Sus scrofa: one gene and its partner. The protein of the gene in region 1 purifies or fractionates together with the protein of each later gene. This does not show direct contact. Links are inferred from orthologs where the notes say so. Each region holds a gene or a part of one and is shown on either strand. Other genes may lie near its edges.

Evidence for each region. Proteins that work in one complex are often made in the same cells at the same time.
Region 2: the proteins of CCDC68 (region 1) and CEP170 purify together in Homo sapiens (co-immunoprecipitation; 3 studies listed by BioGRID and IntAct, counting the BioPlex papers as one, with this or other methods). This does not show direct contact. The link is inferred for Sus scrofa from reciprocal best matches to the Homo sapiens genes CCDC68 and CEP170.

The regions. Positions count from the first base shown.
Region 1 is NC_010443.5:104,471,782-104,475,949, forward strand, and holds the start of CCDC68 (coiled-coil domain-containing protein 68), read right to left. Parts: upstream 2,801-4,168; 5' UTR 2,650-2,800; intron 1-2,649. UniProt on the Homo sapiens protein: Centriolar protein required for centriole subdistal appendage assembly and microtubule anchoring in interphase cells. Together with CCDC120, cooperate with subdistal appendage components ODF2, NIN and CEP170 for hierarchical subdistal appendage assembly.
Region 2 is NC_010452.4:16,188,348-16,192,578, forward strand, and holds the start of CEP170 (centrosomal protein of 170 kDa), read right to left. Parts: upstream 2,801-4,231; 5' UTR 2,520-2,800; intron 1-2,519. Other genes in the region: SDCCAG8 (serologically defined colon cancer antigen 8), read left to right, coding at 3,634-3,700.

The sequences.
Region 1 (4,168 bases):
GAAGCTAGATGCTAAACACTCTTCTGTATGATTGCATTGTATAAAGTGTACAGGAAAGGCAAATCTAAAGAGTCAGAAAGTAGACTGGTGGTTGCCTGGGGCTGGGTCTGAGGATGGGGAGTGACTGCAAACAGCCCCTTAAGATGGGTGGTTAAGGGGGGATGAAAATGTTCTAGAATTGTACTGTGATGATGGTTGCCCAATTCCATAAATGTTACTAAAAATCATTGAATTGGACACCTGGATTTTCTGGTATGTATATTATACTTCCAATAAACCTGCTTTTGAGAAAACAGCAAAAGAATAAAAAAAGGGAAAAATGCCTTGCATAAAGTCATTCTTCTGCTCTGAGGTAAAATATGACTGTAGTCATATTTTTTAACTTACAGGAAAAAAAAAAACTTGGATACAGTTTTCTCAATTTGAAATTTTTCACTCATTGATTTTTTTTCCCCCTAAATTACTGGCATCTACTACTCCAAGTTTAGTTTTTATTTAATTCCCATGAAATTGATATTAAACTATTTCAAGTTTAATATCAAAATACTGCATAGCATTAACAGACTACAATATTCCTAAATTCTTCCCCAGCCTAAGCAAAAGAGGAAACTGACCTAAGACGCAAATTCCTTTTAAAATCTATTTAAGTCAGTGTAAAAGAGTCAGTGATTTGAAACTAATCAGTCACTGTTAAAAATAGATGGATGATTAGGTGTGGTCCCTAATCTATGGCCTCAGGGTTGCCCTGAAGGATTTCAAACTGGTGTAAATTCCACAGGGACAAGAATGTGTCTTATTTGCACAAAGCTGTATCCCTCTGTGTCCCCAAGACAGAACAGGGTGCCCTGCACAGCAGGCACTCAACAAGTATTGGTTCAATGAGTATATGAATAGGCCCCTAAATTCTCTCTCTCTCTCTCTCTCTCTCACACACACACACACACACACACACACACACACACACACACGCGGGCACGTGCTTGCTTTTGTTTTCCAGACTCAGTGGATGGCTGTTTCCATGCTCAGTAAAATGTAAATACACTTAAACAGGCTATTACATTCAGAGTAACATTTTGCCATTATATTTTTTTTTCTATCAACAAATGGCCATCTAATTTTGATGTAAATATCTCACTTCAAAGACTCAAAGCTACTACTTCAAAAGACTTTTACAGTCCCTTCCAAATTCTTCAGTTGTTTCCTTTTTCAGTCATAATTCCAAACAAATAAATGTACACCTCATTTTTTAGTTTTGGCCAAATCTAGCTTATGTTTTTCAGCTTTGTCAGGGCTTTAGATTATAGCTCAAGCCCACTGTCCAGCACATTATAAATCAAAAAGCTAACAAATACATGCATCCCTGTTATTAATTCATGAAATCACAACAATGAATTATACAACTGAAATAGTATCTGTATATATTTCAGGAGTCTCTTTTTAGTTAGTGCAGCTTTAGTTACCATATTCAGCAAATCACAAAGGTAAAAACCTTTAAGTTTTCCTGGGTCGCAGGAAGTGTCAGCCATTTTCATTCTTTCTGTAAGTAATTGAGAAGGCCCTGCCTTAGGCACAAATTCCTCTGTGTCAGGGACCACCACTCTCAAATCAGTGGCATAGAGGGAGGGCTAGGGGGAGGGGCAGTGCAGCCCAGGAAACAGCAGCACCATTTGTGTCCGCTAGGATATCTGAGACTAAAGCTCAGATCGTATTTCTGAAAAGCCAGACTTGTGCAGAACTGAATATTTAATAGCACAGGTAAAATCAAAAGGACAGATTATGTTTTCCCTATTGCAAATGCAGAATAATTCCCTTTTGGACACTTCATCTAGACTGTATATAAAAGGAAGTAACAAAGGTTTTGATTCCTGAAATGAAACAACTATAGTATAAATAGTTATGTATGCTTGAGTTATGCTTCATTTATGTATGGGGCTAACTGCATCTTCTGTGCATATATATATGATCATATATAATTTATATATGTAAATAATAATATTTGATTATGTACGTAATTTTTTTCCTTTCAAAGAAGGTTGAAAATGTACAGCCATGTCATCATCCAATCTAAAATCTACCCTTGCACCGTCCTGTGCTATTCTTTCCGTAAGTTGACACTGCTCCTCTGCACAACTGCCTGGGGCTGAGTAACTTTCAGTTCTAAAATCCCATGACCATAGATAGCACTGTCAACCAATAGGCTGTTCTCCTTTAGCTACACCTGCAGCTACAGATGCCAGCACGGATGAATGAAGGTGTAAGACAACCATCTTCACTCACAAGCATTCGTTTGTGCTCTTAAAAATTTCAGGCGCGGTGATCTGTCAAAGTCGCCGCGCGGGGGTTCACAGGTGACAGCATGTTTTCTCCACCGCCTCTGAATCGCGAGAACCCCTGGCCGAGGGACGGCATAACAGCAATCGAAATAAATAATCAGGTGTGCACAGGGCTAAGGGTGGGGCATTCTCTCTCGAGGAAGGTAAGCTCCGTTCCTGGAAGAGCACAAACTTTTCGCCCAAGGAATTCAAGTCCAGAAGAGAGGTTTACAGGGAGAATATCCTCCTAACCGAGGATCTGTTTACAGGAAAATGTCTTTGGTGTGAGGGCGGCGCTGGGGGAACCGGCTCCAAGGGCACCTGGACATTCACTCACCTGGGGGTGACCTGTGCGCGGATCGCAGGGGCTCGTCTACCTTGGAGGGCGCTCAGCCAGAGCAGGATTCTGCCGCTGCTCCTCCCCTCGGCTCTGGACCTGGGCTGAGTCTTCTCCGTGGGGCTGGCTGGCTCCACCCCTCAGGGAGCGCCCGGGGCAGAGTCCGGCGCCCTGGTGGCTCCGGGGAGGAGCCTAGGCTCCTGCCGCCCCCGGAAGCACACGCCGGGCCCCAGGCGCTCCGGGGTGCCTTCCCTGCATCCCTCAACACTGCGTACCTCTCAGTAACTGAGTCATGTAAAGAGGGTAGTCGCTGCTTTATTAAAATGTTCTCTTTGCACAAACAATAAACTTTTGTTTTTGTTGCTTATAAATAAGCCTTTTTTATTTCGGAGTAATTTTAGATTTACAAAAAAAGTTGCAGAGAGAGTATAGAATTCTCCAAAACCCCCCTGCCGACGTCCCCTAATATTCATGTATTACATCGCCATAGTAGGCTGGTCAAAACTAAGAAGGTAACACTGATCCCTTTCTATTAAATAAACTCGACTTTTTTTTAGATTTCACTGGTTTTCCCCCTAATACCATTCTGTTCCAGGATCTCATTCAGGTTTCCACACTGCACTTAGTGTTAGGTCTTTTTAGTCTCTTCTTGTCTATGACAGTTTCTTAGTCTTTTCTTGTTTTCCTTAACTCAGTCAGTTTTGAAAACTTCGGCTAAGCTATTTTGTGGATATCTATCATTTATTTATTTTTTTATTTTTTAATTTCCTGGAGTATAGTTGACTTACAGTGTTGTGTTAGTTTCAGGTGTACAGCAAAGTGAATCAGTTATACCTATACCTGTATCCATCCTTTTTCAGATTCCTTTCCCAAATAGGCCACCACAGGACATTGAGTAGATTCCCCTGTGCTCTACAGTAGATCCTTGTTACTTACCTATTTCATATTTAGTAGCGTGTGTACACCAAACCAACCTCATTTGGTCTTGTCTGATGTTTTCCCATGATAAGGCTGTGGTTTGGGGTTTGGGGGAGGAAGACCACATCCTACTAGGTGCTGCATGACAGCAATCCTTGTTACTTGGTTAAAGTAGTGTCTCCCTGGTTTTTCCAAGGCAGAGCTACTATTTTTCTCTTTCCATCTTTGGATGACTAAGTTTAGCCCATATTTCAAGAGAGGGTGGGGAGAAGGAAAGTCCATCTCCTGGGGGGAGGCGTATCTACATTATTTGGAATTATTCTGTAGAGATGTGTTCCTTCTCTCCCATATCCCTATCTATTCAATCAGTATGGATTTATATATATATTTCTTGTATATTTTGAGCTGTAATTCAACAGTACATTACTTAATTTGCTGCTCAAATTTTTCCACATTTGACGATGGGGAAATCTTTCAGATTGGCTCCTGTGCCCTTTTGAAAATTCTTACAGAGCAGGTGAGAAAAGGAAATTCATTAATTATTTGCTCTGCCCCTCTCACATTTAACAGATTTGGAAAACTTCAACCAAAGTCTTCCAAA
Region 2 (4,231 bases), on another chromosome or scaffold:
ATCACTTAAGCACAGAGTTTTTTAAAAGTGTTTTGATATTTACATTAACAGGCATAATGTATGATAATTTTACAATATAAATTTCACTTCTAACACTAAATTGGAAAATATGCAGATGGTTATTTATTTCCATACAAAGTCATTTTAGAACATCATGAAATTTAACAGTAAGACAAATTTCAAGTTTAATATAATTCCACATGGTGAATTTAATTACAGATTACTTTTTAAGTAAGTTGAAATGTAAGCGATATACTAATTCTTTTGTTTTGCTTTGGCTCACTCGCAGCACATGGAAGATCCCAGGCCAGGGATCAAAATTTCACCTCAGGAGAGAACCTGAACCATAGCAGTGACAAGGCCAGATCCTTAACCCACTGGGCCATAAGAGAAGTCCATGATATACTAATTTTTTTAAAAAGTCTATTAAAGTGCAATGTAGAATTAAAGGATTAAAAAGTATAAGACAACAAATAAGCAATTTATGGCAAACTCAATTTCAACAAAAAAGCATACATTTAATTAAAAGTTCAACTTGAGTGTTCTCCTTAAAAAGTAAATTAAGCTGAAAATAATAAAATTCATTAACTGAAGAAAAACAAACCTCATAGGTTCTTGTTATGTGGCAATTTGATTTTTAAGAGTTTATATATAGTTGATCATACTATAAAATACAATATAAGACAACAGTACTAAAATACGGTTACTAATAAGAAGTAGGGGGAAAATTCCAACAGCTTTTGTTTTTAAGAAAAGCCCACTTAGGGTATCTTTTTCTATATCCTTAAGTTAATACATAAAACTATAGTTCTACATCATTAGTATTATTATCTTTACTTCAAAAGAAAAAGACTAGACTGCTACAACGGAGCTGTCAATGAACCTGACTGTCACAGACAACTCAAAGAGTCTGTAGAGAAGCTTTCCCTAAAAGCTGGGGGACTAGGGGAGACAGCTGGGAGCTCACATTGCAGAGACGTTGGTTTTATTTGACTCTGGCTTTCATGAGTATTTTGGCTGGACACACAAGTCAGTTCACTTTCCAAGTTTTACGTCTTCCTCTTGTCTCTGTTAAGTGCTTTTAGACTCTTCAGCTTTAAAACACCAAAATTCTACAAGATCTACAAAGTTAAGAAAAAGTAAAAGCAGCACTGGTTTTACTTTTTAAAAAATAATGGCAGAAAAATACAAAATGGTTTGTAACTTGCAATGTAATAGTTCCAGAACTGAATTCCTAAACCGTTGCAGCCTACCCAGCCAGGGTTATATCAGTGCAGACCTGGATACTGTATTTATAATATAACTGTCTCCTCTCAAATCAGTCCTCCACCTGCTCCTCCCCATTCTCCTTCAATCTCTCTTCTGTTTGTTTTAACCCCAGCAAATGGTTGTATGCATTGTAAGCTTAATAATCAAATCATTTTAAGAGATGCGTTTTCAATCAAGTGTATCACCTACTTTACCACATTTCTCCCAAGTGGGTGAATTTTCATTAAGAGAATAAAAATATCAGTTCAAAAAGTCAGAAAAAGAAATGTACCAGGCCTATTTTTTGTTTTGCATGCTTAAAAAACAAAACGGAAAGATGTTTCCTAACCTCCTCCCTTAGGAACACGAATGCGTTACCCACCCAATAAAAAAACAATTCCGCCGGTTCATTTTCCTGCTACACAACAGCTTCGTCGTCAAGGCCCTTCCTAGTCCATTCTTCATCGTCATCTAGTAATTTTATATTGATCACCTTGGCAAGGCTTGGACAGGCACTGTCCTTGTCTTCCAGAAGCTTTACATTCTCCAAATAAATAAAAACTCTGCTACACACTAAAAAACAAAGATTCTATGACTCGGGATACAAATCCCACATCTTCCCGCCCTGTGTTAGGCAGCTGCTAATTTTTCCTTCCCTTGCATAAAATGAAGGGACACATACCAAAGACCACATTTGAATCTCAGGACAATGAAGTCGACAGGAAGCCACTTTCTCCTCCCCCGGTTTACTACCAAGCTACAGCCTGCGCGGGTGCAGTCGCCTGGCGGGGTGCGTGACACCACGTCTTCTACGCCCTCCCACCGCGTCCAAAAGGCTCCTCGCCGGACCCCCCAAATCACCCCACACCCCCAAAACAACCACACAATAAGGATCGACACCGAGCTGCTCGGACCGGGAAATATCCCTTCACCAGCGGCAGCGCAGCCATTCCCTCCACTGCTCCGCCCGCACCCCTGCACACTGCTTGGGCGGAGCGGCTGCACAAAGCCGGGAGAGCCCAGACGACTCAATACGTGGACACAAGCGGGGAAGCCGGGCCGCAGGACTGGGGGACGCGGGGGGGGAGGGGAGGGGCGGCCCCGCCGGGTCCCGGGTCCGGGGCGGGGGCAGCGCGCGGAGCCTACGGGAAGCGCCCCTCGCCGCCCAGCCCGCACCCCGCCCGCCGCGGGCCGCGCCCGAGCCCCGGCTGCAAACCGGAGGAGCAGGATGTGGGAAGACGGCGGCGACGGCATCAGAGTGCATCACTTACCCCTCACTGCTGAGAGGCACCGGACCGGGGGGCGGGGCGCGCCGCGTCCCGTGAGTCTCTCGCCAGCTTCCTCCCCCACCCCGTCGTCGTCGTCTTCGTCGTCGCCGCCGCCGCCGCGATCGAGCTCCTGGCCCCTCCGCGCCGCTGGGCAATAACGTTATTCCACACACGCTCCGCACATAGCGGTAACGGCAAGGAGCGGCCGCCCAGTGCGCAGGCGCCAGGGGAGAGGGCGAAGAGCCCGGCCCTACCCCTGCTCCGGCCCAGTCCCGGCGAACTTCTACTGCGCAGGCGCCAAGCACAGACAATGAAAAGGGGTTGTGTGGGGGGTCTCACCCACAGGCCTCGCCAGCTGCCGACTGCGCAGGCGTACACCAAAGACCTGCTTCAACAATGAGGAGGACTGGGCTTTAGCTGGGACCGCAACCCGTAAGGACTACATTTCCCAGCGGGCAGTGCGTCAACTCCTCCAAACTGAGGTCGGGTGGCCAGCTGGGTGTGCTAAAATTTGTAGCGTCAGCCGCTTTCACAATTTAGGCTGTTTGGGAGATTCAGAGCTTCTTTTTCCTGAGAATTTATTTGGCGGTGTTGGCAAAAGTTGTGGCTGAAGAGTGTAGAATTTATTTGCGTTCTTGAGACGCCTCAAGGGTCAACTGCATTCTAGCGAACTTAAAAGAATCAAGGCGTTCAGTGAGTGCTTTCTGTCAGATGGTCCAAACACACGATGGGATGGAGGCAGGACCAAGACAGGCAGCGCTACAGAAATGGGCGGAGCCTCCAAACGGTCTCTTGGCGACCAGATCTGGCAGCCAAACTGCTGAAGCGTGAGCTTGGAGCGCGTTGCCCTCTGGGAATTGTAGTTTGTTTGGGAGGGCGCCTGGGAACTTGAGACAGTAATCCCGGAACACGAGGACTACAATTTCCGAGGTCCACCACAAGGGCCCGTGGGTGGGAAGAGGCCCGGCTGGCTGCGTCTGGGATTCCGCGCTCCGGGTTGACAGCCGCGGCAGGAAGCGGGTGGGCGCCTGTGGGGCGCTGGGGCCTCTTATTCTCGGAGAGGAGAACCCTGGACACTACCCCACGCAACTCCCGTCTCTGAGCTCCGAGTGTGTGCATGGCGAAATCTTCGGAGAACTCTACCCTGGAGGAGATTCTGGGGCAGTATCAACGGAGTCTCCGGGGTGAGTTGCTCCGAACCTTTGCCCTAACCCCTTAATACCAGGGTCTCGTGGACGGGAGCTGACCAGGTGCATTTCCTAACGGCTTGGTTCGGCCCAAGCCAGAGTGCAGAGGAAGAAGCTGGATGTTGCTGTGATCTTTGAGGGAAGGCTAAATAGTTATTACGGTTAAGCAGCATCGCTTCCCTTGATTCCCATAGTTCCCATAGTTACCTGAACCAACTCCCTGATCTTGTCTTGGGCATCTTTTTCACCCGACGCCCGCAAAATCTCTAGGACGCTTCTATGAGTGTCGCCCACTTCCCCTACATCTCTCTTTTTAATCCAGTACATTTCTGATGCGCTCTTTTTACACATTCGAATTATAGTATGCTGGGTTGGATGTGATTTATTGGACAAGGAAAAAACACACTAATAATTATTTTAGTCACAACAGCTTCTATTTAGCGGCCCAGGCTATTTACACACATTAAATCACTTAAAACTTAACAACAGTCTTATGAGTGACCCTCTTCTACACCTGGGGACCTGGTG